Kluyveromyces lactis: one gene and its partners. The protein of the gene in region 2 purifies or fractionates together with the protein of the main gene of each other region. This does not show direct contact. Links are inferred from orthologs where the notes say so. Each region holds a gene or a part of one and is shown on either strand. Other genes may lie near its edges. The genes, in order: NOP9, NOP56, DBP3 and BUD21.

Evidence for each region.
Region 1: the proteins of NOP56 (region 2) and NOP9 purify together in Saccharomyces cerevisiae (affinity purification with mass spectrometry; 3 studies listed by BioGRID). This does not show direct contact. The link is inferred for Kluyveromyces lactis from reciprocal best matches to the Saccharomyces cerevisiae genes NOP56 and NOP9.
Region 3: the proteins of NOP56 (region 2) and DBP3 purify together in Saccharomyces cerevisiae (affinity purification with mass spectrometry; 3 studies listed by BioGRID). This does not show direct contact. The link is inferred for Kluyveromyces lactis from reciprocal best matches to the Saccharomyces cerevisiae genes NOP56 and DBP3.
Region 4: the proteins of NOP56 (region 2) and BUD21 purify together in Saccharomyces cerevisiae (affinity purification with mass spectrometry; 4 studies listed by BioGRID). This does not show direct contact. The link is inferred for Kluyveromyces lactis from reciprocal best matches to the Saccharomyces cerevisiae genes NOP56 and BUD21.

What each region holds. Positions count from the first base shown.
Region 1 is NC_006041.1:1,202,727-1,211,750, reverse strand, and holds NOP9 (RNA-binding RNA processing protein NOP9), read right to left. Parts: upstream 2,534-9,024; coding exon 527-2,533; downstream 1-526. Other genes in the region: MRP8 (Mrp8p), read left to right, coding at 1-362; VFA1 (Vfa1p), read right to left, coding at 2,806-3,423; small subunit rRNA maturation protein LCP5, read right to left, coding at 3,717-4,904; rRNA-processing protein NSA2, read left to right, coding at 5,132-5,917; MPT5 (Mpt5p), read left to right, coding at 7,568-9,024. UniProt on the Saccharomyces cerevisiae protein: RNA-binding nucleolar protein required for pre-rRNA processing. Component of the 90S pre-ribosome involved in production of 18S rRNA and assembly of small ribosomal subunit. Component of the pre-40S ribosome required for release from the nucleolus.
Region 2 is NC_006040.1:1,041,099-1,047,737, reverse strand, and holds NOP56 (snoRNP complex protein NOP56), read right to left. Parts: upstream 2,662-6,639; coding exon 1,120-2,661; downstream 1-1,119. Other genes in the region: PBA1 (Pba1p), read left to right, coding at 1-768; SWI1 (Swi1p), read left to right, coding at 3,211-6,603. UniProt on the Saccharomyces cerevisiae protein: Required for 60S ribosomal subunit synthesis.
Region 3 is NC_006039.1:1,341,948-1,350,342, forward strand, and holds DBP3 (RNA-dependent ATPase DBP3), read right to left. Parts: upstream 4,769-8,395; coding exon 3,254-4,768; downstream 1-3,253. Other genes in the region: PEX5 (Pex5p), read left to right, coding at 1-1,323; MNN10 (alpha-1,6-mannosyltransferase), read left to right, coding at 1,900-2,895; HNM1 (Hnm1p), read right to left, coding at 5,151-6,794; LEC1 (Lec1p), read left to right, coding at 7,234-8,395. UniProt on the Saccharomyces cerevisiae protein: ATP-dependent RNA helicase required for 60S ribosomal subunit synthesis. Involved in efficient pre-rRNA processing, predominantly at site A3, which is necessary for the normal formation of 25S and 5.8S rRNAs.
Region 4 is NC_006037.1:680,451-688,151, forward strand, and holds BUD21 (Bud21p), read right to left. Parts: upstream 3,415-7,701; coding exon 2,662-3,414; downstream 1-2,661. Other genes in the region: DNA-binding SCF ubiquitin ligase subunit DIA2, read right to left, coding at 1-1,181; Mn(2+) transporter ATX2, read left to right, coding at 1,607-2,551; KLLA0_A07645g (uncharacterized protein), read right to left, coding at 3,773-4,591; TVP38 (Tvp38p), read left to right, coding at 5,246-6,163; RTS2 (Rts2p), read right to left, coding at 6,288-7,007; OMA1 (metalloendopeptidase), read left to right, coding at 7,285-7,701. UniProt on the Saccharomyces cerevisiae protein: Functions as part of the small subunit (SSU) processome, first precursor of the small eukaryotic ribosomal subunit that coordinates the first two steps of ribosome biogenesis in transcription of the primary transcript pre-RNA and pre-18S processing.

The DNA of each region.
Region 1 (9,024 bases), on a different chromosome or scaffold from region 2:
TAGCAAACAATAATAAAAGAGACCCAGCAGATGCGATCGGTCCATTACCTAACGCTGACGGCGATTTGCCAATCGATCTTAAAATTCCTTTACCGGAAACGGTACAAGAGTTCAGCAATATCAAGGATTTGGATTTATGTAAGGTAGCTGAATTTTATGGCGTATTGCCATTCCCACAATCTGATCTTGAAGCAATCACTGAGGGCTTGCGTAATGAAGAGGATGTTTCAATTCCTACATTTACAGATGCTACTGCGGCTGACCAACTAAAAAAATACACTAAAGAAGAAATGGATGTTATCTTTGACACTGTAGCAAGATATTTAGGGTTAAATAATAGAAGAACCAAAGGCACTTGGTAAACTTTTATTGAGAAAAGATAATGTTATAAAAAAACAAATGACTGGAGTAGAGTTATAACTATACATACTATCGTCTGTGTACGTGACTTGGTTGTTTATATCTATGTATATATATATAATTTACAACTGATTACTTTGATATGTTGAAGTACATGCTTTCATGATTATTTTTTCTGGAACTTGCTCTTCTTGAAAGAAGGTGAAACATCCGAATTGTTGTTATTATTAGGACGCTTGAAGGTCTTTGGTTGTAAAGGTTTAGAATCTGGGAACATTTCGAGCTCTTGTTCTTTTACTATTTTTTTCCAGTCGTATCTCTTTCTTACAAATAGTTCAAGCGACCAATTCTTCCACACTTGTCTACCGTAAACACTGTTCTTGACCTTTTCAGAGTCTGCACATAACGCAGTTGCTATACGTTCCTTGTACATAGCCAATTTAGCCGTAAATGTCCATAGTTTATCAACAATGTGGGAACCATATGCGTTACAGGATAAGTTTACGATATCTTTGCATAACACATTGAGTAAGAGTTTTCTTTTGATGATGGCAACTCTTTTAACCTGTAGAACATGTTCAACAACGTGAGAAAACACACCATGGTATGGCATCTGCAAAAGTCTTTCTGCTGGAAGATTCAACATACTGTCAATGGTACTGTTTAGGAAGCAATCATCGTAATCAATCAACTTCTCTAAGAATAGAGATTTTCTCCTCTCTTCAGCAGTTGGCCAGTCATCTCTAGTGTTACCAAGGGTAGAGGAACTTAACTGAAGACAAGATTCTAAGATGTTCTTATCAGATGACTCACGAGGATAGTATTTCTTCATTAATTGTTCAATGATTTCGTCCCTCAAATAATTATCATGACGGATACTGGCATCTATAATTTCAGTACCGAAATCCATGTTAGAGTTCAACAAAACGCTCAAGTCTGGGACCAGTTCATCCATAATCTCTTTGACTTCCTTAGAGTTCAAGACTTTCAAAAGTGATTGCAACACAAATGCAGCAGTTGTATCTCTTTTAGCAAGTTTTGGAATTCTATCCTTCATGTATAATCTGTATAATCTTTCCACGTACTTGATTCTAGTTGATGCAATAACATTCTGCAAGAAATGAGATCCAACAGCATCTGATAGTAAGTACTCCACAAATGACTCTTCCTTGGGATCCTTCTCATCAGAATCTTTGAATATTAGATGCCAGTATGACCTGTCTCTATCGAAGATACCTTCTACTTGTATTACCAATTGAATCACTGGAGACCCGATCTTATCAACACATATTTCCCTGAATTTCATAACGTCAGCGAGAGAAATCTCAGAAAAGTGTCCAGAGCCCTGTGGAATACCATGTGTGAAACTAGTGTAGATTGAAGATAACATAGAACGAAGAACAACTTTGAATGAATCGGGAGTCTTGAATATTTTGTTATAGTTATCGTTATCCTTAATGTCAATCATCTTACGTGCAATCTTAGACTTCTTGGAACGTAATGTTGAATTGTTCTGTACAGTACTTGGTAAAGTCTTTGACGATAGCACTAAGATTAAAATTCTAAGGACATGTGATGCATATTGATGGCTCACCATGAACCTTAAGTTCGGTTGCAACTCGTTAGTCAAAAACAAAAACAATGATTCAGTAGTAACGAATTCACCCTCATCAACAGAATCAAAATCAGGTGTTAACAATTCTTTTTCCACCTGTGCTGCACCTCTGACTAATAGAGTCTCTAAAACATGGGAGGAATATTTGTGACATGCAAGGTTGAAATAAAACCCATTGAAAGCTTTGAAGATAGTCTTCAATTGAGTTTCATCACTTTCCATAATAATACGTTCCATTAGCTTAGAAGAAATCTGAGACGTAGCAAGTTTCAACTCTTTACCCTTACTTTCCTCGATGACACTGTTGATAAACTGGTACTTCTCATCTGGATTCTCAAATGTATCAATAGCCAACGTGGATTCAGCCTTCTTAAAATAATCCAATTCGCCAGAATCTAGGACACCAAAGAAAGTATTAGGACTCACATCACTATTGTCACCCCCAGCAGTTTCATTAACATGGCTAACCGTAGGCTCATCATGGGTTTTATTGTCTTCTGGATGGAACTCATCTTTCTTGAGCTTTTTTATTAGCTTTCTACCTCTTACTCTAGCCATGATATTACAGTTCCTAGCCTTTTTTTAGAGCACGTATCGAATTAAAGTTCAAAATTATTTAAAATAGCAAAAACCAGAGATGAAACGCCTGAAACCAGCAAGTATTCTGTTCTAGTTTGAAGCTCATCGCATGGGATCTAACTATGTCCTGCTTCTTTAAAGCTTTTCATTGAAAAGTTGAAAAGATCAGAAATTTCTTTTTGACGTGATATCAATCACGTGATATAGAATTGCACAAAAGACATAAGAGGTAGGCATATTAGGCCGTCCTCTCATGACTTGTTAACGGTGTTCTTGGGGACTTCAGGAAACGAAAACGATTGTAATAGTTGATTGGGGTCGGTGTTGGTGTATGATTGTTGCTCTACACGTTTCTTTTCCTTTAATTGAGCCAGTTTCCGTAGTCTGTCGACTCTTGATTGGAATACTAGGTCGTGTAGAGTGTATCTATTGCACGTCTCTCTTGATGCAGCTAGCTTATCAAGTGTCGCTTGGTACGTTTGCTGCAATTCTTCAAGTGAGTTTGCTTCATCGGTCTTCTTCTTGTCGTCAGAACTCGCGTCATCCCTGTCCTCTTTCTTATCATCAGATGATGATGGCTTTTTAGAGTCAAAGATCTTATTAACCCATTGATCCCAGGTACCTCGCTCTTTCCTTTGTAGCTCCTCTATGCGTTCTTTGAGTGGCTTAAGACTAACCAGAGACTCGTGATACTCTTTTGGGTATAGAGGCTGTACAAACTGCGGGTTATCAACTAGATGTATATCGCATGTATAAAACCAATCAGGTCCGCTTCCATTGAACAAAACTGTGACTGTAGGGTTACCACATATCAGACATGCTTTCCTATCCTTTGCTGAGACTTTCTTTCTGGTGTATTCGTTCTTCATCAGGGGCGCTGGAAGTTGTACGCTGGTAGGAGATTAGTAGGGGTGATAGGTGGTGATTATATCTTGCAAAGTTGGAACGCTTAGATTGTATTAATTAATTATTGGTGATTACACCTTGATATGAAGAAAACGAGACAAAACGAAACGAAACAAACCACATCAAAGCTAGAGTTTGAGCAGTGCAACACCGTTATCATTCGATTTATAAACTACGTATTTGACACTATATGATGACAATAGAGACGTATGGATATTTTAGCCTATTTATACATAGAAAAAGAAGGACCTCAGGTTTACAACTTCTTCTTGGCTCTTTCCCAAGCATTTCTAGATTTCTTATTACCTCTTCTGCTTGTACTATCCTCCAACTTACGCTTGGAGTTGAAGATACTGAAATCTTCACCGGCGATCATATTAACCTTGGCCATGATTTCTCTTTGTTTTTTCATTCTCTTGTCAGTCTTGGATCCGTTGGGGTTCAATCTAGTGAAATTTTCTTCTTCGAATCTTTGAACATCACGTTCACGTTCTGTATCTCTTGCTGTCTTCACACCACCTCTACCATGGTTGACGATATTGGCACCGATAGAAGTTTCCCATTCCGGTTGTTCCGAGGAATCCTTCAAGTATTCTTCCATAGCTTGCATACGAGACCTGCTACTCTTATCCTTATGTTCTTGTGCGTTGAATTTATCCTCGAAGTGATGTTGCTTTGGTGGCAGAACGGCACTGATCTTAGGTGGTCTATAAACGTTATCTTTATCATCCACATCTTCTTCATTGTGAGTACTCTTGACAGCGATTTTCCCCTTGGCTTTCCCTCCAACTGATGTGTTATTGACCATTCCTGAACTGTTCGGCCTATATTGCATCTCTTCTTCACTATCAGAATCTGAGTCTGATACTTCTTCCTGGGAAGCACGTACGTCACTCAGTCCCTGCAATTCGGCTCTTTTCTTGGATTCTTCAACGTCTTTCTCCAGTCTAATGTACGCCCGCGTCAATTTATCCAGCTGGTACCCTAACTTCTTCTCCAAGGGCTTCACACCTCTTTCAAGAACAACTCGTTGTTCCACTGCCCTGACTCTACCCTCATCAACAACCATCTCTTTATTCAATTTCTGTCCCAATACCAACAGAAGCGAATTCAAATACGATAGCATACTCCCATTCTTCAAAGAAAGTAGAGAAACTTTTTCTAATTTATCACCTTTGTGACCTACCACCGCTGAACCTTGGAAAGGATGGGTCTCCTCATCATCATAGACTTCTTCTAACTTATCCAAGCTTTCTCCACAAGATTTCAAAGAATCTCTAATCGTTTTCAAAACAGTTCCTAACTCCTCAGACATGGCTATATTTCCGCTGTAACCCTTGTCAATAGAATGTAATGAGGTTTTATACATCAATAACAGTAGATCGAACCTATGCCAAACCCACACCAGACAACCAAACTTGTATCTGGCTGATACCCATCTCATCTCATCTCATCGCTTGATTCCAAATTTTTTTTTTCACTACGTTTCTTTTCGACATTTCCTATTGAATTTTTTTCTTTCAATGAGAAAAGCATACAAAGACAACTTGAACAACTAGCTCATCGCATGGGTTAACATGTGGTAAGAAGTCCATTCAAGGAGTCCGTGTGTCCGTTTGTGATTTAGAAGTAAGTCATCACCGAACAAGTCGTTCTTACAATAAAACAAAGATGCCTCAAAACGAATATATCGAACAGCACATCAAGCAACATGGTCGTAGATTAGACCACGATGAGAGAAAACGTAAGAGAGAAGCCCGTGAGGCTCATAAGATCTCTGAAAAGGCTCAGAAATTGACTGGTTGGAAGGGTAAGCAATTTGCTAAGAAGCGTTATGCTGAGAAGGTTGCTATGAAGAAGAAGATCCGTGCTCATGAGCAGAGTAAAGTTAAAGGAGGGTCCAAACCGTTGGATGAGAACGGGGAGGCTTTGCCTACTTATTTGTTAGACAGAGAACAGAACAACACTGCAAAGGCTATATCCAGTTCCATCAAGCAGAAGCGTTTGGAGAAGGCTGACAAGTTTTCTGTTCCTTTGCCTAAGGTCAGAGGTATCAGTGAGGAAGAGATGTTCAAAGTTGTTAAGACAGGTAAGTCTAAGTCTAAGGCATGGAAGAGAATGATCACGAAACATACGTTTGTTGGTGAAGGGTTTACAAGAAGGCCTGTGAAGATGGAAAGGATTATCAGACCTAGTGCTTTGAGACAAAAGAAGGCTAATGTGACGCATCCGGAACTTGGAGTCACCGTTTTCTTGCCAATTCTTGCGGTGAAGAAGAATCCTCAATCGCCAATGTACACACAGTTGGGTGTATTAACCAAGGGTACTATTATTGAAGTGAACGTCTCGGAATTAGGTATGGTTACTTCTGGTGGTAAAGTGGTTTGGGGTAAATATGCTCAAATCACGAATGAGCCAGATAGAGACGGTTGTGTCAACGCTGTGCTACTTGTGTAAGAACAAGTACAACCTATTACTACCAAAATTCCTACTCATCTCAATTATTCCCTATTGCATCACCCCCCACTCCGCTACGTTATTGTATATTACTATTTCATTTTAGAACTGAGTTCCCTTATTAGAAAGTACTGGCTAAATCATCATTATTTAATCATATATTTAGCGTTAAATACTGAATTATAGCCAATGAGACTGACAATTTCATGCCTCGCTGCCGTTGAGATACCAGCTATTCCAATGCATTGAACTAATTGCTACTCACACGTCGTGTCAATTGACCTTCTGGACCCTCAGGTTACCCTAAGTATTCATCTTTATTGTTTCACAATAAAGTAGGGTACTACCCTACCAAATCATACCAAATAATTTTATCTATATATATATATATATTCAGTATTATACATACACATTCTTTGCGCTTGATATACACAAACTTACCTTCAAAACAGCACTTATTAGGTCAGATTCTAGCACTGGTCCATATACAGATACTAGCGTCGACGTTGTTCAGGAAAAGAACATCATTGATCCCACTGGAAACGAAGTAGTTCCCCAGATCAAATTGATTTCTGGATCTACGTTCTAGTTTTCACCACAGAAACTGATCCGTAAGCAATCAGTGCTTTTTCCAAACCCCACCAGTATGTATTGAAATTTGTCCTAACGGACAGCCCCTTTACCCATTAACCTTTACCTTCTTTCCCCCTGTTCTGCATCTACAGAAAGCTTTTGCCAATTAATGATCCAACTTGAGTCTCGTTTAAATTACTGTTATAGTGATACTGAAAGTAGCACTATACAGATTCTCATATTAGAACTGTTGCAGGTGACTACAGTACCTTTGATCCAGCCTCTTCGCTCAATCCAACCCTCTTTTTGATTCACATTCTCGTCCTGATTTAGAAGTGCCGGACAATAATCCTGGCCACGGTGGACTTCTCTGCCTAACAGCTATTTCGATCGTGAAAAATGTCTGTCCAGACAGATTGTCCGGCACGTGAGCAACCCTGGTTTTCCCTGAATCATTTTTCTCAAATTCCTGTCTACGCTCATCTGATCTGCCTAGACCGCGGGCGGCGCCCCCGGTCTGGCTAGGCAGGGCAATAGGAAAGCAGATATTTCCTACGCGGGCGTCTACGTATTTCTTGAGTATTATTTTTCATTATCCCTCGAATAGTATGGAAGAATCAGAATCGTATAAGAATAGAGAGAATCAAGAATCACAGAGAGTTTGCATTGTAAGAAGAGCGTGTTACTGGAACAATTGTTTGAGGTTTTCCTGGTGTATACAACAGACCTATGAGTTTTAGGGTACGCTAGACAAAAGATCAGTTTCTGATTTGTGGGCTTTTTATACTTTCGCTTGTTTTATATTTGTTTGCTTCCAGATCTGGTACCAGATCAGCTGCGAACTAAATTTGGTTTCATTCAAAGAAAAGAGTAGAGGGAACAAGAGGATACTATTCAGCTGAGATACTAACAGATTGTGTTTAGACTAAACTGTGCTTTTTTTTTTTTCTCTCCAAGTCCCTGTTTTCGTCTGGTGATTAACCTTTGAAAGCTATTCTTTCCTGAAGAAGATCTTATAATAGAATCAAAGATTCAAGTATTTAGGGGAAGCCGGAGTCGAGACATAACTAGTGGATAATGCAATTCCATCATCAACCCCAACTGTCAGTTAACTCTGTTCAATCTGTCATTGAGCCAGTGACTCCGCCGTTGGGCCAGATGAACTCTAAGAATAACCATCAAAGAACACATTCTTTGGATTTGTCTGGATTCAACCAATTCATTTCCAACACTTCTCCTCTGAATGTCAATACAATGTCACCGCTGAGTACGATTTCTGCCACGACATCCGTGTCAACGGCTGCGTCTAGTTCTGCCAATGCGAAAAATCGTATGAAATCGTTGCCCTTGATCAATGAATTCGAATCCATCTTACCTCCGGGAGGTTCTGCAGCTGCTGATTTAACGTCATTGACTTCAACTGCTTCTTCACCAAATGGTTCCACTAGTACATCTCGTGGGACTGGCGCACGCGGGAATACAGTGTCGTCAAGTGGTGGTAATACTGGATCGAACGCATCATCAGCATCGTCTTCATCAGCGTCATCATCTACTGCGACAACTTCTGCAGTGACTTCCATGAACGATTTGCATAATATCCGATTGAAGGACTTGGATTACGTGAAATTGTCTACAGACCAATACGGTTGTAGATTCTTGCAACGAAAGTTGGAAACTCCTCAAGAATCGGATCAAGTGAGAGATTTAATCTTCGAGAATGTCAACAATTTCTTCTTGGATCTAATTTTGGATCCATTCGGTAACTATTTGATTCAAAAGCTATGTGATTATTTGACAACTGATCAGAAAACCGCAATGATTAAAGATATCTATCCCTCTGTATTCCAAATCTCCATCAATCAATATGGTACCAGATCCTTGCAAAAGATCATTGATACCGTTGAGACCCAAGAACATATAGATATGATCATTAGGGGATTTTCTCAGGAGCATACATCAATTGAACAGGTAGTCACTTTGATTAATGATTTGAACGGTAATCATGTCATTCAGAAATGTATCTTCAAATTCCAACCAGCAAATTTTGATTTTATCATTGACGCCATTGTCAATAACGATAACATCATTACCATCTCAACTCACAAACACGGGTGTTGTGTACTGCAAAAATTGTTGAGTGTTTGTACTCTGCAACAGATTTTCAAGATTTCTGTCAAGATAATTCAGTACTTGCCCTCCTTGATCAACGACCAATTCGGTAACTATATTATCCAGTTCTTGTTCGATATCAAGGAGTTGGATTTCTACCTGTTAGGCGAAACTTTCAACAAATTGTCACAAAAGTTGTGCCAGTTGTCCTGTTTAAAGTTTTCTTCAAACGTTGTTGAGAAATATATAAAGAAGTTGTTTGCCATTGTGATGAATTATGTGTCCAACACAGCAACTACATCTACATCAACAGCGGCTTTGAATCCACATGACAGAGTCGATGATGGGGATGATGTTGTTAACGCTTCCATGGGTATTCTTTTGGTAATTGCTGATATCTTCATGGCTAACATTACTTCTTTGAT
Region 2 (6,639 bases):
TTCAAGCAATGGCAAAATGATCAAGTACCAAGACATCAGATAGACCCAGTGGTCCAATCCGATCCATATTCTTTGGTGAACAAAACTACGCCAACGGTCACAATTGAACCTGAATCTTTGGATATTTCGCCTTATAATCATTGCATTGTCTTGCCTACATCCTTAAAGTGGCTACTTCCTAAGAGTATTATCAATTTGGTACATATAGGTATCATCTCAGGTACCCTATCAAACATGAACGAATGGGAATCAATGAAACCCGTACCTGGAATGTATGACACAGAAGAACATATGATAAATTCTACGGAACAGTTCGTGATACATTACAATTTATGGAGGTTAGAGGATACTTTGATCGCAATAATCGATGAGAATGAAGTGAAATACCCAGCCATTGTAACGAATTTCATGACTAGAAATTTAGCACAATTGCTTAGAGACATTAAGGATATAACAATATTAGTAAATTCGGACAAAATAACAGAGTTGAAACAGTTGTCCTATTTAGTCCCTCCCGAATTTATTACCGGTTCTATCACCAATTTCATTTTAGCTCTACCAAGGAAGGAACTCAAAGTTATTGTTGTGCCTTCTGAGGGTCCAATTGGTTTTGAGAAATATAATTTCCCTACCGTTGATGCTTTAGTAGATGAAATGTCGAAATTACTTTGCTCGTACCCGTCACAGACAGAGTACTATGTATCGGAATGCTTAAAGCTTTGGAAACTTGACGAATGTACCACAACTCAAGGCGGGTTATATATTTAACGTGTCTTTAATCAAATATTGGGATTACACCCGTTCTGTTTTTTAGTGACGATAATTGTCTAGTATTCTAATTAAAATATGATTTGGGTGATATACAGATGTAATATGTAACAATGGTTAAATGATGAGTTGCATGTTTGTAGACACGAGGTTTTCCTTATTGTCTTAGGATACAAGTAGGAGCGTTAAAGGTGCAATTAAGAGCTTTATAATTATGAGAAACCGGAATGACTTAATAATGTAAAAGTGAAAAGTTAAATGTAAAGTGACGAGTTTAAACTGAAATATGATGAAAAAAAATAATAATAAAGTCGATCAATCTTCGGAAAATGATTGAAAAGTTGACACAACCTAATCCTTATTTTTCTTACTCTTCTTTTCCTTCTTATCCTTCTTCTCTTTCTTCTCTTTCTTTTCCTTCTTTTCCTTCTTTTCCTTCTTGTCCTTCTTGTCCTTCTTGTCCTTCTTAGACTTCTTTTCCTTCTTCTCTTCTTGTTCAGAGTCTTCTTCATCGTTAGATTCTTCTAGCTTTCTCTTCTTGGAGACTTCAGTCGTATCCACTTCTTCTTCGTGAGCTGGCTTATCTTTATTGTACAATTCGATGGCTTCCTTGATAGCAGATTCATTCTTCAAAGTTGGGGTACCAGAAGCATAGAATTCCAATCTTTGTTCAACTTGTTTCTTTAGCACTTGACCGAAAACGTTAGATGGTTCATCGGAGTAATTATCGATTCTAGAAGCCATAGAACATTTGTTAGCCAAATATCTAGAGATTCTACCCTTGTTCTTAGCACTAGCTTTAGCGATGAAACCACTGTGGTAAATCAAACCATACTTTGGTGTGTTACCTTTAGTCTTCAAAGCTCTGAACAATGCCTTTTCAGCACCCAAGATTTGGACAGTAGAGGCAGCTTGCTTAGAAAGATTGGTCAAAGAACCAGAATGAGAGATCAATCTAGCACCGATAACTTCACCGATCAATTCGGACAAGTTTGGAGCCACAGTGTGCATCTTCTCACATAGGTAATCGTATAATTGTTTCCTGTATTCAACAAGGGAGACAACTCTCTTAGCGAAGATGGTAACGTTTTCCATATCAGTTTCAGAAAGATCTTGACCCATAGAGATACGAGCGTTATCGATCACTCTTTCACTGATACCAGCATCGTTATCCAAAATTTCCGATAAATCGTGCAAGGATTCTTCGTTCAAAGATGCCTTATCCTTAATGAATAGAACGAGTTTAGCAAACTTGTAATTGTCTGGGACTAACTTTGCCAACTCTGGGAAATGCCAACCGTACCATTCCTTCACTCTCATGGCAAAAGTGTTGATATCCTTATCCAATTGATCCAAGAGAGCAATGGCTTGAATGATATGGTTATCGTTTTTCTGAACAGAGAACTTAACCTTAGCACGAGAGTAAGCATGACCCAAACCAAGTTGAGCTCTTTCCAAATCACCAGGTTGTAAATCTTTCAATAATTTGTCACCGTGTAATCTAACACCACGAATCAAATCCTGAGCTAACTCATTAGAAATACAATCAACAAATGGAAAAACTTCTTTAATGGATGGACCTAAGTTCTTATCAGAAATAGCCAAAGTAACAGTCTTCTTAGAAGAACCCTTTGGTAAATTTAAATCCAACAAAGCTTTCAAATGTTCAGAGACTAAACCTTCAGAAATATCATTAGCATTTTCCAAAGCTTGAGCAGCACCTTTGAAAGGAGCAAAAGAAACCAACTCAACTAACTTAGTGAAAGAGCCGAAATCATTGATCTGTTGCTGGACTTCCTTCAAACGAGATCCGATATCATCCTGTTGCAATTTCACTTTGAAGATACCATACCCGGTAGGTTCTTCGAACAAAAGATATTCAATAGGAGCCATTATTTAATTCTCTGATCAATAAAGTTTCCTCGCTACCGTAAAATCTCTTTGATCTGGACTCTTCAACACACACTAACTTCGGAATGAATGAACAAAACTCAAGATAATACAGACAAGTATTAATTGAAATATCGCTGTGCACATAACACAATATACAATATATTCACTGGTCAGAAAGCTCATCTCTCTTTATTGGCTTCGAAATGAAAATTTTCCAAACAAAAAAAAAAGAGCGATGAGCTTGAAAAAGAAAAGCAGAATGGGAAATATATTTTACTTACCCGGCCGCGGCCGGGTAAGTTATACACGTGATCGAATGTATTACCCGGATATAGAATAATTGACAAAATCACGTGACCTGGAATTTTCTTGTCTTTCCAAAAACAAAACAACGAAAGGAAACTCGAAATTGTATTCAATGAATTCAATTGACACTTGACTATCACTACTTTCAGAATGAATATAATTCCCTTGTTTTAGGTTTTATTTAGGCGTGATTTCTCTCCCCTGATATCAAGGGTCAAACGGTAACTTTATTGGTACATACGGATGGACGATCAGTTTTTGTTCCCGGACGAGAGTGATCCAATGAATTCTGGCGATGGCCAGCTTTTCGGTCAAGGAGGTTCGAACGGTGATGAGTACCTTTCCTTCCTTGATAACTCAGGCGCACCCAACCAGCAAGGTATACCTGATAGTAATTTAGGGCCGATGGAAGATGTTAACGCAGGCGTAACGCCCCAGGCTATATTGGCTAGAAATTCATTCTCAACTGTCAATTCACCTCCGTCGATGAAGAACGGTGGAGTCTCTATCTCTCCACAATCCATGTTTTCTCCAGCCGCAGGACCAATTCCTATGAATACAGCCAATGTAGCACCGACGCAGTCTCCCGCCGGCACTACTTCTTTACAGCAGATGTTATCGCAGCGTGGAACGCCGCAAAATGTGCCAAGTGGATCCCCTACAATGGCCGATGAGTCTTTAGCTCAGGCGAGTGCTAGTAGACAGAGCCCTCAGTATATGGATAGAGCCGCAATAATTGCTGCGCATCAACAGAGGCAACAGCAACAGCAACAAAAGCTACAGATGTTGCAACAACAGCAGGCATTCAACCAATTACAGCAGCAGAAACTAAGACAACAGCAGCAACAAGCACAGGCTCAAGCGCAGGCACAGGCTCAAGCACAAGCTCAAGCTCAAGCCCAAGCACAAGCACAAGCACAGGCTCAAGCTCAAGCCCAAGCTCAAGCGCACATACAAGCACAAGCGCAAGCACAGGCGAGAATGCAACAACATGCGCCTCAAGTACAGAATCAGTCTAATAACCAAAGAAACGTTCTACAAAATCTAGATCCAGCCATTCAACGGAAAGTCGGTCAGGAATTAAACACCAAACAGTTTGAACTATTTAGAAAATCATTTTTGGAACATTGCAGGAGAAAGAATCAACCCGCAGATATTGCTCAAATGATTAATGGTACCCAGGTCAGTTTCTTCATCTTATACATGTATGTTCAGAAGCTTAACGGAGGAGAAAACGTCACTAAAGCACAACAATGGCACATATTGGCGAAAAAGATGAATATACAAGGACCAAATGCTGGAGAAGAATTGGCAAAGACGTACTACAGATATTTACTACCGTACGAAAAGTACTTGATGACCCCAGAAGGTATTAAAGAAACTCAAACCAATCGTATCATGTTACAGCAATTACTTCAGGACATTATAAGAAACATTAGAACGAATACACCGCAGTTCCAACCGCAGGTGCAAAATCAGTCTTTTATGCAGGGTCAAAACGTAATACAACCGGATTTACAAATGAAGCAACAACAGATTCCTAAGGCTCAAGGCAAAACAAAGAACACCGTCCCAAAACAAGCAAAACCTAAACAGCCTAAGAAGCCAAGAGTGAAGAAGAAGACTAAGAAAGAACTAGAACAGGAAAGAAAACAAATGGAAGAGCTGCAAAAGCGTCAACAACAAGAAGCGGAGCAACAACAGCAGCAGCAAAAGCTCATATTCGAACAACAATTGAAGAAACAACAGGAAATTATTTTGAAACGTCGTGAAGAGCAAATTAAGAAGCTTCCGAAGGTGTATAAGAGAACGATGGCCAGGCATTATAGTCCCACCACAAGAGCCATCACCACGCAAAATGGGTATGATATTTCAAAGATTTCAGCTCTTGGTGAGATGATACATAATTTTAAACCCATCTTCCTCTTTGCGCCGGAGTTTGGTGTCGTCAATATCAATGCAATTGCAATGCAGTTACAAAGTTCTAATAACCCGGAAGTCAATACCGCACTAAACTCATTATTAGTTATTAGCTCCGATAACACTTTATCAATTCCACTCGATAAATGTCGTGAGCTTTTGGATAACCTCTGTATCTTGGCGTGTCAGTTACTGCATAAACTATTGAAGAAGGATTATTCAAGGATATCAGGGTCTTATACTGAATATGATGAACAGCAGTGGATTAATACGCCTCCCAAACATTCGGATTCCTCTGATACTCATATTGATAAAATTTTCAAGGAAAGCGTCAAAAAATCTGGAGAAGATCAATCTGAATATACAGTAAAGGTAGACTCTTTAACTGGTATAGATTTTTCTCAACTTCCGATCACACCGACGGAACCAGAAATAGAAGTCGATGCGACATTACCTGAAGTCTCACTGGAGAAGGACGAAGATGAGAATGATATTGAATACTTACCTGATTTGTTGAAAGACGAAAATCTCGATGAAATCAAAAAGCTACATTTCATTTCATATATGGATTCTCTAACTAAAGTCAAAACGGAAGTCGGATCCATCTTTAGCAAGTGTCACCGTTCTGGAGCAGAGGATCCGCACTTGTTGATTGTTGACCAATTGACAACAATTTCAATGATCTTGAGAAATCTTTCATTTAACGAACAGAATTCACAGGTAATGGCTAATAATTACCACATGGAAAAATATATTGCAGATACTCTTTGGATGGTTTTCATTCATAGAGATGAGTTTATTTTTGAGCGCAGGGTTTTAAACTTCAAGAAGGATTTGATTTTTATTCTATCTAATATTACACATATGTTGAAAATTGAATCAACAGTAACTTGTTTGTTAATCATAATGCTAGCGTTGAGCTTCGCTGATCCGAAAGATCATATTCAAGAGAATAGCGTCTTGACATATGCAGAGTACACCATGAATGTTGAAAAATGTCAGACATACGGTGCGGACGTCTTGGCTAAACTTCTTTCTCTTGGTTACCCAAATAGAGCACATTTTAAGTCAGTATTAACTGGTGTTTTCACTGAAGAAAATGACGATGATGACATATGCCAGCAGGTTTTAGATTTGTATAACGGGGACGAAAAATTCAAGTTGTTTAATGACATTTTCTCTTTTATCATTTCCACCATCCCCTTCCAACAAATCAATAAAATCCCTAATCTGATTGAAGACTCACTTCCATCTATTTTACAAGCTCTGACAGCTGCTGTTTGCATTGTAAAGTTTATCGATGCTCAAGAGGAGCACTGTATTTTCAAAAATCATAACCTCCCATGCAAATGGCTCACAGCAGAAGAAAATATTGGAGTAAGCCTTCGTAGAATTAGCGAGGCTCTTGCTAATATTGCAATGCAAAACACTAATTTGCGAGAGTTCAAGGACGTTTTAAGTATTATCAGTGGTACAGCTATTCAGTTGATTAGGCTAATGCTAGAAAAGAGTCTTGAATTAGCATTGATTTCGGATCATCCAAAATTAGCTAGAAAGAAGATAATAGAAGAGTTGTCACAAACCCCTAATTTACTTCCAAGCGACAATTCAGCTGTGACAATCATAATGAATCCAACAACAAATATATTCATGTCCAACGAAATGAAGCTGTTTTATCAAGTCTGTAAGAATATATATGCAGAGCTAGCATCATAGATTATATGCGACTCCTGTAATAATTGTAATATTTAC
Region 3 (8,395 bases), on a different chromosome or scaffold from region 2:
AGAGTCAATAATGTTGAAAGAATAAGCAACACAAATTCTATGAGTTCATACAGGCCTGGCATGTCCCGGATCGGGAGGCCGATGATGCATACAGGTATTTCTTCATTACATAATTATTCTCACATGTCTCAGCAAACACCGCAAATGTCCAGTGATGATGGTGTTCTCGCTGACAAGCAGTGGAATGAGCAGTTTGAAGCCTTGGAGAAGGCTGTGGCTGAAAATTTGACCATGGAGGACAATAAAGAGGAAACCAAGGAGGAGATAGTAGTGGAGGATGGATATCAAGCAGACTTCCAAGAAGTCTGGGATAAGTTACAAGCGGAGACGGCTGATAATAATTTGGAAACAAGTGATTCTCAATGGGAGAAAGATTACGCTCGCTATATGACTGGTAAAGCAACACATATTCCACCTTACAGATTTGATAATGATAACCAATACATGCATAATCCAAATGCCTATGAAATTGGATGTATCCTAATGGAAAATGGGGCGAAGCTAAGTGAAGCTGCATTGGCTTTCGAAGCTGCTGTGCAAGAAGACCCCGCGCATGTAGATGCATGGTTAAAGCTTGGATTGGTTCAAACACAAAACGAAAAAGAAATGAATGGTATTAGTGCGCTTGAGCAATGTTTAAGCCTAGACCCCACTAATCAGCAGGCACTCATGACAATTTCTATCAGTTATATTAATGAGGGATATGATCTGACCGCTTTCAGCATGCTCAACAGATGGCTAGATAGTAAGTACCCTGAGTTAACACGCTCCCCTACCATTGATGAGGCCAATATCGATAGGTTTAATTTGAGCAAACAAGTAATCACGAAGTATTTGCAAGTAGCTAACGCCTTGCCTCAGGTGGATCCAGAAGTTCAGCTCGGTTTGGGAACGCTTTTCTATGCCAATGAAGAGTTTGGTAAGACAATTGACTGTTTCCGCACCGCATTAGAAGTCAATCCAAATGACGAATTAATGTGGAACCGTTTGGGAGCCTCTTTGGCCAATTCAAACCGTAGCGAAGAAGCTATCCAGGCATACCACAAGGCCCTTGCCTTGAAACCGTCTTTTGTGAGAGCTCGTTATAACTTGGCCATTTCGTCAATGAATATTGGCTGTTATAAAGAGGCTGCAGAGTCTCTGCTCTCTGCTCTATCTATGCATGAAGTAGAGAATGTTCCAATTACTGGATCAGTCGTGCAATCTAACAATATTCTGGAGACCTTAAAGCGTTCCTTTGTCGCCATGGATAGGAGAGATTTGCTAGAAAAAGTCATGCCGGGCATGGATCTACAGCAATTTCGTAATGAGTTTAACTTCTGATAATGCAACGCAGCGAATAGTCTTTGTTTGATAGGACCATCCTCATATTCATAATGAATTGATCTTTCACCAAGTTTTGCGGAAAAATACATTCGCATAATTAATTACAAGCATTTAGTCGCATATATGTAGTCGTCATTCGATTGTATTCCTCAACGAATAGTGCAGAGGTCCATGCTCACGATCAGTGTACCAGTCAAAGTGTTATGGTAAGCTGTCGCGGTATCTAGAGACAGATTGCGATTCTATCATTTCTACCGGGTAACATTTTCTTGTTTTGGATTTCTTCATTTTAAAGCGAGTTGCAAGAATTTGAAGTAATGTCAACAGAGTAAAAATATATGTTCTCTATAGATAAACTCCAGAGTAGTACAAAACAATCATTTACTGGTTGTTGTTTGTGTATCTAAGTGATTTCGTTAGTACTTCAATACGTTAAGGAAATATAGTGTGACTGCTTGGAGCAGAAAATACTATTGATCGCGTTTTGCTGTTTTTCTGAGGCATCCAACTTGATCCGATTTATTGTATATTGTACGTGAACGAGAGACCAGTCAGAAAATCTAGATAGGATCAATGACTTCGAGTACACCTTATGAGTACTCATACGAATTGGATGAGAAAAAGCCATTAAATTTGGATTCCAATTACGTGTCGTCATTTTCAAAATATAAGAGGTACGTCCTATGGCTGTTTTCCATACTTTTCATATTATTTTGGTTAAGTGATTTCTCACTTGTTGCAGCTGAACCCAAGGTGGTGATAATTGTTGCTGTCAATAGTGGTGGCGGTGGTGTTTTAAAGTGGAAATCGGAACAAGAATGGGCTATCGAGCGTATTTCTATCGAAAACAAACGTGCATACGCCAAAAGACATGGTTACGGATTGGTCATTAAAGATCAGGCACTATCAAAGAGATACTCCCATGAATACAGAGAGGGCTGGCAAAAGGTTGATATAATGAAACAGACTATGAGGGAATTCCCCAATGCTGAATGGTTTTGGTGGTTAGACGTGGAAACTCTTATCATGGAGCCCCAACTTTCTTTGGAAGAACATATCTTCGATAGACTAGATGAAATCGCAAACAAGACTTTGGAAGCTTTCAATCCTTTGCATATAGCTACCGATGTGGCATATGTTGACTATTCACAACCGTCAGATATGTTAATTACACAGGACTGTGGTGGTTTTAATTTGGGTTCTTTCCTAATGAGAAACACTGAATGGACTGAGCTTCTTCTCGATATATGGTGGGACCCAGTCGGATATGAACAAAAACATATGGTCTGGGAACATCGTGAACAAGACGCTTTAGAAGCATTGTATGCTAACGAACCTTGGATTAGAGAGAAGATCGCATTTCTACCACTAAGGCAGATCAATGCTTTCCCACCAGGTGCTTGTGCAGATTTCAAGTATGACTTGCGCTATTTCTATAACGAAAAGGAACATGACTTCGTTGTCAATATGGCTGGGTGTAACTTTGGTAGAGACTGCTGGGGTGAAATGCGCCAATACACTCAACTGATGCAAACTCTTCACCGTAGATGGTACTCGATGTTCTTTTAGATTCTCAATTTCCTTTTGTTTATCACTTCAGTTGTATTTCAAAAATTATGCACTGCTCCATTGTACTAATACTGTAAAATAAAAGGCGAAGGTACAAGAAGATCTTCGATAGAGTATCCCCTTTTATACTTTAATGCTTTCCCTTTCAACACCATTCTTCGTTGCCTTTCAAAGTCATTGTTTGAATATCGCATATTTAATACGTCTTTAATTTCAATTTTTATCGTGAACATTCATTGTACAAACTTCGATGCAAGAGTAATTGTAAACTTTTATTTACTCTGTATTGAATGAACTACTGTACATAATGGGGGTGATTGCTAAAAAATACAAGAATTGTCTTTATAACGGATTTAAATTAATCAAATGTAATCTTTTTTGGTTTCTTTGATAGGTCCACATCCTTGAAGAATGCACCGTACGCACTATGTTCCTTCTTCTTTGTGTGAGTACCGAACTTCTTGAGCTCCTCAGGAACAGGTTGACCAGCACCATTTAAGACATTAACAAGGGCACCTGCAAGATGCTTTTCTTGCTCAGTGAACAATGTGTGTGCGGTACCGTATTGACCAGCACGACCGGTTCTACCAATTCTGTGAACGTAATCTTCTACTGTTAGAGGGAAAGTCAAATTGATAACGGTTTTCACGTTTGGGATGTCTAAACCTCTGGCTGCCACATCAGTAGCTAAAAGTAAGTTACATTTTCCTGCTTTGAATTCATTCAAAGCTTGAGTTCTTTGCTGTTGAGAAAGATCACCGTGAATGGCAGCAACATCGTAACCGTTGTATTTCAAGTTTCTTTCAACACGAGAGGCTTCCTTTTTGTACAAGGCAAATATCAAAACTTTGTCGTTCTTTGTTGGGCCTGAATGGTACTTCTTCAACAGTTCCAACAGTTTTTTTTCCTTTCTGAACGGATCCACAACTTCCACGATCTGAGTAATTCTTTTGTTTGCTGACAGTTCATCTCTGTTACCAATAGACACTTTAACCGGTTCACTCATGAAACTTGAAGCAAGTTCACGAACTTCTTTTGGCCATGTCGCGGTAAACATCAACGTTTGTCTAGAGGTGGATCTTGTTTGTCTAATGATTTTTTTGATATCTTCCTCAAAACCTTTTTCCAACATTCTGTCAGCTTCATCCAAGACCAGGTAGTTAACATGACTCAAATCAACAGAGCCTTCCTCTATTAGATCCAACAGTCTACCTGGAGTAGCAACAACGACTTGGGATCTCCTCAGATCTTCTCTTTGCTGATCCTTTGGAACACCACCGTATACGCAACAAGATCTTAAACCACACGCGTCAGTAAGAACAATCAAATTATCGTAAATTTGAGAGGCCAATTCTCTAGTTGGTGAGATAACAAGTACCTTGACGGAACTTGACTTGTCTCCTGATGTGACAATGTTGTTGATAGCTGGAACACCGAAAGCAAAAGTCTTACCCGAACCAGTTTCAGCGATACCGATAACATCCTTACCAGCTAATAGATATGGCCAGGAAACAGCTTGAATTGGAGTTGGTTTTGGGAACTTAGAAATTTCCTTTTGAATCTGATCAATAAACGACACTTGGGAAAAGTCTAAATATGGTACAATATTGGAACCTGATGGGTCGCTAACTGTAACCTCATTTTCCTTCAAAAATTCATCAATATCAGATTGAGAGGCAGAAGCAGCAAAGCTTTCAGTTTCTGATTTCTTATCCTTTTTCTCCTTCTTTTCTTTCTTCTCCTTCTTATCCTTCTTGTCTTTCTTGTCTTTCTTGTCTTTCTTGTCTTTCTTGTCCTTCTTCAATTTTTTCTTACTCTTCAACTCCTCATCTTCCACCTTTCTCTTCTTGTCCTTTAATTCATCTTTTGACATTCTGGACTATTTGCTTGAGCTCTAATGGTTAAGTATCACTACTACTGCAGATTCTGCAATCATATCATTCGAAAGCACTTAAGTCATCTCATCTCATCTCAGCTTTGTTATATAAAATTTTCAATAATCAAAAAACATTTCTTTTTACTGACGCCAGCTGAATTACAACAAGAGACAAATATATAATTAATATAGCAACGGAGGATCCGTATAATTGATAATATATTCTCAATTAATTCCGATACAGCAGTACCTCAGTTCGTATATATCTAGTAACAATAATTCAAAAGACAATGCAAGTATTATATTTAGTAGGTATATTAAACAGGTGAATAAACGTTAAAAAAGACAAGAAACGAAATGCGATAGGAAGCAGTGTTTATCATTTAGCATCATAAGCATGGAAAGCTTCAGTTGTTACTGACTCCTGATTGCTATCGGTGTTTTCATCTTCTCTGATATAGAAAACTTTCTTTGCCTTAAATTGCCAGAATCCTAAGTAGAATAATAGGAACCCAACAATGACGACTGATGCATAATTCATGTTATCTTTTGTCACTGGCATGACAGCTGGGAAACAGAAAAAGACTAAAGCGAAAAGATTCCAACCCAATAAAACGATATTGGAGAACGCTCCGAATTTTCCTAGCCAAAATGGGCCATGTTTAATATTACGTTTACGCGCCAACAGACATACGACCGGAACACTGTATGAGAACAATAAGAACGCAATACACCCAGTAATTAAAGAATTGAAAGCGGTGGTGGAAGCCATGTATAAGCAACCCAATAGCGAAATCAAGGCACATGACAGCAAGTGCGCGTTCAATGGCACACCCAATTCAGGATCAATTTTAGCCCAGTATTTAGAGTATGGGATACCGTTGTCTCTAGCAAATGACCAACACAATCTTGCTTGCCATGTATGGCATGCAATAACACATCCAAATGAGGTGAAAAGGATGAGGCAACCCAACACTACAGCACCTGGAGTAGATTTGGTAGCTTGACGGAAAATTTCCAAGATTGGCATTCCGGTATTGGATGAAGCAACAGCCTCTAGATCTTGTAAAGAGAAGAACATAGCGATGACGTAACTGAAAGAAGTAAGGAATCCAATGCCCACTGTACATAGAATAGAGATCGGAATCACTCTTTCAGGGTTTTCCACTTCAAAAGCCATGTGAGTGGCACAATCTAGACAAGAGAAGGACCATGCCGGGTTGATTAAACCGACAATGAAGGCAATGACTCCATTTTTCCAGCCAGTTTCGTTATAGAAAGTAGCAAAAACGAACTTGGCATCGTTATATTTACCATGGGAACAAGCTAGCACGGTCACTGTAATGGTGAAAAATGAAATCAATGAGATGTACAATGACGATTGAGAAATGACTGGCAAAGCCTTACCAGAACAGTTGAACATCATCAAGAACAAGTGCAAGATTTGGAAACATACGAATACATGCCATCTCTTGACTTCAAAATCTGGATGGGTCAAAGCGTACATGCCTACCAATTCAGAAGCAACTGAAAGTGTGGTAGATGCACTAGAGAAAATCGCACCTGCCCATGCAAAAGAACCACATAGATAAGCAGCTAGTCTTCTGTATTTTGGTGGAGCCAACTGCAACGACCACCAGAACTGACCACCAGCGTGTGGGAAAGCAGAAGACAACTCACCTAGAGTCACAGCAATACAGATAGAGATCAAGGCAATGATAATGATACCGTATACGACCATCATTGGACCACCAGAGTAGATACCAGTAACCATGGATACCGAGATACCAAACCAAGAATTCGTCAACCCGAACCCAACACCTAAAATCGACCATAGAGAGAATGATTTACGCAAATGACCTTCACCTGTACCACCGTACGCATCGTAAGCATCTTTACTCGATATACTTTGTTCTTCTAGTTTACTCTCCTCATGAACAACATTTTTGATACCGTTATCCGAACTGTTATCGTTGAATCCAGTTGAAGATCCTGCCATCTCGGAATTAGATATCTCTCGCATCTTCAAAGAATATCCCTAATACTACCATCTATATAAAAATACGAAACAAGACACACAATATAAATAAACTACCAACTCATCTCATCTCATATTAACTAAAAACATATCAGTGTCCTTATATAGGATTTGGCAATTCCTCGAAATGCAGTTTTCTGGTTGTCTTTTATCTTTCCATTTTTCAAATCGTCTCGAAGACGAAGTTTTTCATGACATGTGAAAATTAAACCTCATTTGGCCCAAAATCCCACTTCCGTCTCCTAAAAGGAATTTCCTTTGCTTTATGGAATTGACATGGATTTAGTATAGATCGTGGATTTTGGATTAACTGGCAGAGTTATATGTGAAGTTAGTCTAGACAGGCTGGTTTATGTACATATATATATATATATACCTATCGGTGTGTTTCTTGAAGTGAGCGGAATAACACAGGTTAGGAGGCATGGTCGTTGAACTTTCTTCCGTAGAAGAACATTACTTGAAGAGAGAGTTATTAAGGATTGAGTTGAATACAGAGTTTGAGAAGCTTAACGACATTAATGCATTGAGGAAGTTCGGGTGCCCCTTCTCGGATGAGGATCCGAAGAGTAAGGGCAAGGCTAAAAATAAGAGTCATTCACGAAACAGCTCGGTTTCTAGTCGTGTTTCATCAACGCTTAATTCTGATGATGAGGTGAAACAGAAATTTGTTGGTGAGTTTCCGGTATTAAGCCATTTCTTGCAGAATTTTGTAATGACGTTCCCATTGTTGTCCAAGGAGTTGGTTAAGGATCCGTCGTTTTGGCAGGGTAAAGTTCAGGTGTTCTTTGAGCATTTCATGTCTTTACCGTTCAGTTCCAGTTTTGATAGAGAAGAATTGACAAAACGTCGGAAGATGGCATTGAAATTGTCCAAGGTGATTTTATTGTTCTATAACTCTGGGATCGGTGTGTCAAAGGAACGTCAGTACTACGAGCAAGAGAAATATCATCTTACTAAGGATGCAGAGAAGGCTACCAAGTTGAATAAGTTTACCATGCCAAGCAAGGATAATTTGCAGTACTTATTGACGAACGAACCTATCTACTTCAATGGGATCGATATCAATGTGATAGCCGTGGTAGAGCATCGGTTACTTTTCCCTGATGATAAGGTGAAACCAAAACCGGCTAAAAGTGTTGCAAATAAATGGATGAAATCAAATCTAGGGTTTGATTTCTCGAAGCTATCGTTGATTGATTCTGGTAGCTCTAAGAGACATCAAAGCTATTTTATGATACGGGTTCGTAAGGAGGACCCTGCAACTACTGTTTTTGTTTATAAGACCTATGAGGATTTCAAAAGATTGGCTAAGGATTTAAAGACTGGATACCCGGGTAAAAAACTACCGCAATTACCTCATAAGAACAAGATCCAGGCCTCTATCAAACAAGATGGTGTTGATGTGACAGAAACGCTTGAATCCATTACACAGCAAGCGAAAGCAGACTTGGAGACAGACGAGATTGAGTACGAAGAGTTCGATGAAGACCAGCACGACCAGAGCTCAGAACAAAGTTCAGAACAAAACACTCCTAATATCAACAAGAACCGAACGTTGCCTCGTGAAAGAATGAGAACGTCGT
Region 4 (7,701 bases), on a different chromosome or scaffold from region 2:
AAATTATCGATACGTTCAAGGAAAACAACATCCTCATCTGCCCAATGGTTAGGATCATAATGGCCAAAGACAGAGAACTCTTGAAGATTCGCAATCAATTTTTCCTTATCCGAGATCAATTGAAGTACCTTCAAGATATTCAAATTAGTGAATTGTAAGACCAGTTTCTTCACTTCCTGGTCCAATCCGTTGAACAGTAACTGTGAACACTTAGCTTCTTCATTAGTGGCCATTACAGAGAAGTTCAGATATTGAATGACGGAGCTCACACACCGTTTCGTTTTCACGAACCTTAACAGTGAATTAATCTTCGAATAATTTGTCTTGGGAACACTTAAATAGTCTATAATCATTGGAGTGGTCGATAGTTTTCGATACCAAAATTTGGATACCAGCATACATGATGTGATATCCTTTGTATCCAATCGCCGCATGATAGATATCACAAGTTCTGTTGGGAAAGTTTGGATAGGGTCTATAGTTGCTCGTTTCATTTTCTTATTCATCGTTGAACCGTCATGGTCTTGATCTGTATCGGAGACAAGGTCATTTTCCTCAATGTCCTCATTGTTAACTAGTTTCTGCTCTATTAAAACACGCTTCTTACTTGGTATCTGTTCGGAATTCCTAGCCCCGGATTCAGCATCATTGCTATTAACCAACTGCATAGCGTTCCTTTTCAATAATTCCTCGTACCGATCACTGAAAAGCTTCTCATGTACCGGAGACACGAGAACCCCGCGTTCCTTCAACTCTTTCACAAGTTTCCTTCCGCTCTTGTATACCTGCCTTGCCCTATCACCCTTATCAGCCAGCTCGTACGACTTCCCGAGCCTTAACAAGGCCCTAGTACTAGACGGTTCAATCTTGCAGAAATACTGTGATTCCTTAACGGCTCGTGCATAGTCGCCAACTTTCATCAAACACGATATCCTGCTATCCAATAGTTTCACGTACAGAGGATGGTAAGCCTTACTCTCATCGTAAGCACATCTCTTGGGCATTCCAGCACGTATACGAATATTTTCCACCATTTCCATCGGATACGATCGTGACACTTTCATGGCTTTTGAGAAAAGACCCAACGCCTTGGAATATTCCCTACATTGCATCCATTTCAGCCCCAGCTCATAAGTCCTAGTCAGCAGCCCATCGTCTAAAGCATCGATTTCTTCACCCATTGGTTCATTGTTAATTTTACAACAAAATGATGCGTCACCAGTTGCTCTCTTTATCTACAGATTAAAGTGTCACTGTTTTCCGCACTGCGTTCTTTACGGAGATTTTACCAACCAGTTAATCTCACTCTACCCACTGCTACAGTCGTGCAGAATGGCATTAACACAATGCACCCGGTTATATCCTACATGTTTTTCCATAAAGAGATATGTTCAGGGTCCAATTCTTACTTCGAACATCAATTCTAAATCGCACGATTTAACCTTTCAACGTTGATATATAAGGTAAATAATGACAAAACACGTTGATATGACTGGTCTTTGGCACTAATTGTGTGCGTTATACGTCAGGACTGCAATTTGAATCAAGATTGGTAGCGGTAATAGACACTAGTGAGAGGTGAACACGGATACACGTTTGATTAACCATGTCTCAGCTGCTAGAACCTTTACTTTCGGCAGTATTCCTATTCTTTGCGACATTAGGAACGGGGCTTATCCCGGTGATGTACATGAGTAAGCTAGCTGAGAAGGGAGACTCTGGCATGGGGTACTTGAAGTATGTGTCTGATTTCGGTATTGGTATGTTGTTAGGTACTTCTTGTTTACTAGTGATACCGGAAGGTGTCGAGAAATTCGGTGATAAGGGTGGCCGTGGGTTTGGGATCAGTTTGTTATTGGGATTCATGATTCTATATGGACTAGATAGGTTCTTACATGCACTGCAAGCTGGTCACATCTTAAGTGGTTCGTTTGATGCTTCTGCTGCGCCTGATCCTCTTGAGAGGAATATCGATTTGATCAATCCAAGGAAGACGGTGCCATTTATCTTAACGAACAATATCGTATTCGCGTTGGTAATCCATGCATTCTCTGATGGACTGGCGTTGGGGATTGCCGAATCCTACGATTCGTTGAAATTCGTGATGTTGATCGCCATTATTATACATAAAATTCCTGCGACGCTTTCCTTGACGGGGATTATGATTTCGAAACAGAGATTACCCAAACTACAAGTAATCTCTAATCTTATTGCATTCAGTATATCCACACCGTTCGGGTTGCTATTCGTGATCCTGATGAGATTCGTCAGCAAGGACCTAATCGAGAAAATGAGCGATGGGCTATTGGTTCTGAGCGGTAGTAGTTTATTGTATGCTTCATTGCTTGCGTTGATCTCACCAAGTAAGGACCAGGAACAACAGTTACAGAATGATGGCCCGATCCCAGTGTCGGGTTCTGTTTTAGAGATGGGCGAAGGTGTTACCACTGAAGAGAAAATAGAACAAGAATCACTTCCAGATGTCAGATTGTTACTCTTGGGTATCTTTATCCCGTTAATGATCTCTTTCTTCGCTCCTCATGATAGCTAAAGCCAATCAGGAAACTCCTCTTTTAGATAATACATTATACACGAGACAAATCACATGTATAAAGACCTGTATATTTGAATAGATAGGTACATGTGGGCACAAATCCTCTTCTATTTACGTTTGAGACTTCTTCTTTTCAACCATTTATCCTTTGATTTCATGACACTGGTTTCCTTTTTTGGAGCCAGTGTCTTAGATACCTTCATCGACGATAGCAAGTTCACAGTGACAGGTCCTTTCTGTATTTGGGTCTTTCTCAATTCCCTTAGTGATCTCTTCTTTTGTTTCCGTAATTCTTCTTTTAGGGCCTGTTCTTCTTCTCTTTGCGCTTCTGCCGAGAAAGTAATATGTTTCGGCGTAGCCTTTGCGAAGGAAGATGCAGATCCACTTTCTAGCTCATCAAAGAACTCTTGTGGTAACTCTTCCGGCTCATCATTATCCGAACCCTGCTGCGCTACTAATTGTCGTTCAAACTCTAACATCTTTTCTCTCTGTTTCTCCTCCTCAGACTCGAGCAGCTTCTTCTTCTTCTCTAGCTGCTGTTGCTTGAACACTTTCTCGTTCTTTCGTCTCTTCTCTCTAGCTGCCTCTTCTTGTAACCTTGCAGCCTCTTCTCTTTCCTGAATCCTTTTCTCTATAGCATCTTTCCCACTACTCAAGCCTTCTTCTTCTGGCGCATCGCTATCACTCTCACTCTCACTTTCACTTTCACCATTCGCTTCTGCTTTTGTTGGTTTGAGAGCATCTAGGGTAGAGTTGCCCTCATCAGCTGTATGGAATGAATCATCCGCATCATCATCGAACTTCAAGTGTCTCTTCGCTACCAGTGCAGCACCAGAACCTAGAACTTTCTTCAAACCCATTGTTATATTTCTCAGTAAACTCTTGCCACTTGTCTAATCCAATGCACAATTGAACAGAAACACTGACAGAACGGTAACACGACCTGCTTCATGGACTAGTTCCAGTGGTTCATCTCATCTCATCTCATCGCTTTGTCCAAATTTTTCACTTCGAAAAGAAATGATACGTAAATAGAGGTCACGTGCTGAAGATTTTGTTCCTGACACTGGACTACGAGTAGAATGCTCATCACCCGTTAACGGACTGTGCTGTGTATTGGCTGGTTCTGGTGCTATTTGTTGGTTAGATTATATCAATTTATATCAACTTTATTGCTATGCTAATGGTATTTAATGTGTAGCTTGCAGTACTGAAACATCATGACACTTTAAACTCAATATCACAGAACTGGGTACCAAAAAGCATTCTTGCCACGTCTGTACCCATTATCCAGCATATACATGCCTTTATAATAACCAAGAGATATGATCTACCAGTTCCTGTTACTAAAGAATATATTATCCCAATGACACAGATGGTGATTAGGATATAAGTTATGATGACAGGATATCTTGCGTATAGCATTTGCAAGAACCGACTTAACGGACTGGTAAATGGTGATTCCCTGGATGGGGGAATTGAGGGTGACTGCACGGGGTCGCCTGAACATGGCTGATCGCTTGATGGTGGTGGTATTGGAATTGGCAACGAGGGTGTTGACCAGCAATGTATCTGTGCAGTGGGGTTGGACTCTGGGGAAATTGTTTGGTATGTTGTCAAATCAGGCAACTGTGATTCTAGTAGCGGTGACGATTCCTCCGCGACGCCGATATGACCCTTTTCTAAATCGCTGGCATTATATACCAAAGAGTCACTAACATTTCCATCAGGTAATGGTCCTACTATTATCCTAGTTGGTGTGCTGATTGGAACAGACTCCGGATGTGGTGAAGATTCCACAATGCGGACAGATTTATTCTCATGTTCGTGCGTGCCATCAACAGGTCTTAATATAGACTTGATTGGTATGGGAGTGCTGCTTTTCTGGCTACTGCTCTCACCGGATTGCATTGGTGGGTCCAGTTGTTTGGGTTTAGGTTTGGGTTTGGGTTTAGGTTTCGCTGCTGAAGCTGGTGCGTAAGTGATTGGTTTATTTCGACGTTTAGGCGAAAACCGCTTATTCAATAAGCTCTTCATATGATTTAGCTCTGTACAGTAGAAGCTGACGTTCTCTCTAAATATCTAGATTCAGATCTCGACCTTGAACGGTTGGAGAACGTCTTATGTCGTGTTCTCTATTAAAACGTTTGTGGCTGGGATCTAAATTCAGTTCAATTTGACGTCTGGAAAACTGACACAAGGAATTACCGGCGATTGAACAGCCGTGTCACTTCAAAATCGGGGGTTTAGTAGGGTGTAACCATCTGTAACAACAGGACAGCTATCTTGGAGAGCCCGTGCTTCTAAGTGCATCGCTCTGTGTTTTCTCTTGTGAGGTGGTATCATTTATTGCAATATAGGATGAATATCACGTGACCATAAGGTCTCCGGTTAAAGGTGATCTAGATATATTGACCGTCAATATGATCACACAGGTTGTAACACCAGTTCCGTGCATTCTTCTGCTCTAACTAAGAAAGGTTGTAGTTCACTTCAGGGACGGTTAGAAACCAACTCTTTCCATCGTATCCTTCATTATTCACAACTCCGCCACTATATTACAAAACATTTAATTAATTCATCAAAGAGATTAACACTTTGAACACTGTATATCTGGAAATCAGAGAAACATATGCTGTTGTCAAGCCTCTTAGTGTCGGTAAAGACTCAAGGTCAATTGATACTAGTATAATGGCTGATCTTTACGAGGCTAGAGTTAGTTCTGGCGGTTTGTCGAGGCCTTCAGACACGGATTTTTTGGATAGTAACGACAACTTTGATGATTTGGACGATGACTTCCTTGACATATACAACTTGAGCTGGAGGCAACGTATTGTTCAACATGGGAAACGGCATTTAAGAAATGGCAAGGATAAGTTTAATGCGTTGAGCAGACGAAAGAAGGCTCTTGTGGTGTTTTTAGGGGTCCTTGAAATCATATTAATCTTTATCACAGTAGTTAAAAGGGAAGCGATAATGAAAGGGTTGGTGGATGCCTCTAATGATCTGAGACAGAAATGGTACACACCTCTAGTTCTAATGCTACTTATATTAGCGGTTTCGTTCCCGCCATTGATCGGATACTCATTTTTATCTCTCTCTACAGGTTTGATCTATGGGCTTTCCTTCAAGGGTTGGTTCATTCTTGCCATGTCCACTGTGATTGGATCAGTTCTCTCATTCACAGTATTCCAGAGATTGTTGCATTCCCATGCTGAGAGATTGATCAGAATGAATCCCAAATTAGAAGCTGTATCATCGGTATTACAAGGTAATGACAGCTATTGGATGATTGCTCTTATTAGACTTTGTCCGTTCCCATATTCTTTCATTAACGGTGCGATAGCTGGTATTTATGGAATCTCAATCAAGAACTTTGCCATTGCTAACATCATCACCACACCAAAAGCGGTTATTTATCTCTTCGTTGGTGAAAGGCTCAAAAACATGGGAGAAACAGACTCGGGTTCTACAAGGTTAATCAATTTCATCTCTATTCTATTGGCTAATGGATTTTTAATATTAACAACGTGGTTCCTCTATTACAGATTCAAAAAGAGATACTTAGAACTACAATCTGAACAGCAAAACTCTTTTGACATCTTTTAGAAAGAACGGCCCAAACGTGAGTTATATCTTGTATTATTCGCAAACAAAGTTGCAATGCTACGTGTGTAGCGCGGTATATACTTCAATGAACGGTCCCCATTAATATTACATATATATAAGTGCCTCATTTCGTTGGCTTGAAAACATTTTTGAGCTTCTTTTTCGGTTTCTTCTTAGTCACCTTCGATGTGGATACTGTTAGATTTATAGGTCCATCTCTTATATTGGCTTTTATTTCCTCTTCTTCTTCTTCTTCTTCCTTTTGACCCGATTTGACTTCTTCAGCGTTGGCCTTCTCGATTTGTTTCTCCAAGAGCCTTAGCTTAATCTCTTGGTCACTACGTTCGGCTTGTTTCAATGACTCTATTTGTTTCTTCCGTATCATATTTGGTGAAGACGAGTCGATATAACTTATCATAAACCGTCCTGGGTCTGTATCGCTAGTAAGCTCATCTATTCCATGGATCCGTACTTTCCCCCCCTGGCTTAAATGTTGTATAAATCGCGTCAATGATGTGAATCTCGTAGCGTTCATATGGACATGGTCTTTGTCCTGAATAAACTCATTGTAGAACTTATTAGCTTCCACTTTCTTCTCACCGTGCATAAGCCGTAGCAATCGAAGGAAATCCTTCTCAAACTGAACCGTATACTCTTCAATATCCTTATGAGTCACTTTACTAAGCTTCTGCAAGTGAGATGGCGACTTAGAATGCGATTTGAACCCATTCTCGTCTCGACATTGTTTCTGACATATCTGACAATAGAATCGAAGCTTCTGCAAACCTCTCATCTTCATCTGCTTGTTCAAAAACGAAGCACTACCAACATCTCCGGATACCATGGTGTCTGGCTTACGATCTTACTATAGTCTGATATTCCCTAAACACCTCTATGCTTCTAGGATTCTAGAATCTTTGCGTCTTGTATTTCATCTCATCTCATCGCATGGACTGAAGATATGTATCTGCATTTTAAAGCTTTGAGGACTTTACTAACTCCAACCTTTAGACAATTTATAAAATAAAAAGATGGATAAGTAACATATATAGTACCCTGATTAAACCTCCAACCTTGTGGTATCTGATTACTGTTGGTACAATTCATAATAGTTTCAACTGATGTTCAAGAACGTTTTCAGCCGTCTTTTAAGACCTCAGGCTAGATTTTACAATACTCCGATTCCAAGAGTCACTTATAAAAGATTCAATGGCCGCACAGGAAACTCATTCACACAGCTGTTATTCGACAAAACCTCGAGGAAATACCTCGCTATAGTGTTTGGTACCGGATCGTTATTCTATTTGACTCATTTAGAAGAGGCTCCTGTTACCGCGAGAACAAGGTTTATCTGGTTGCCAAGGTCACTTGAACTCAAGATTGGCCAATACACTTACAACTCGGTTCTTAGTGAGACTAAGGGGAAAATCCTACCGGAATCGCATCCATTAACGAGGAAAGTGACCAAGATTTTCCACCGGATTGTGGAGGCTGCTGAGCACGATCCAAGTGTGGATCAAAGCCTGTTGAAAGATGTT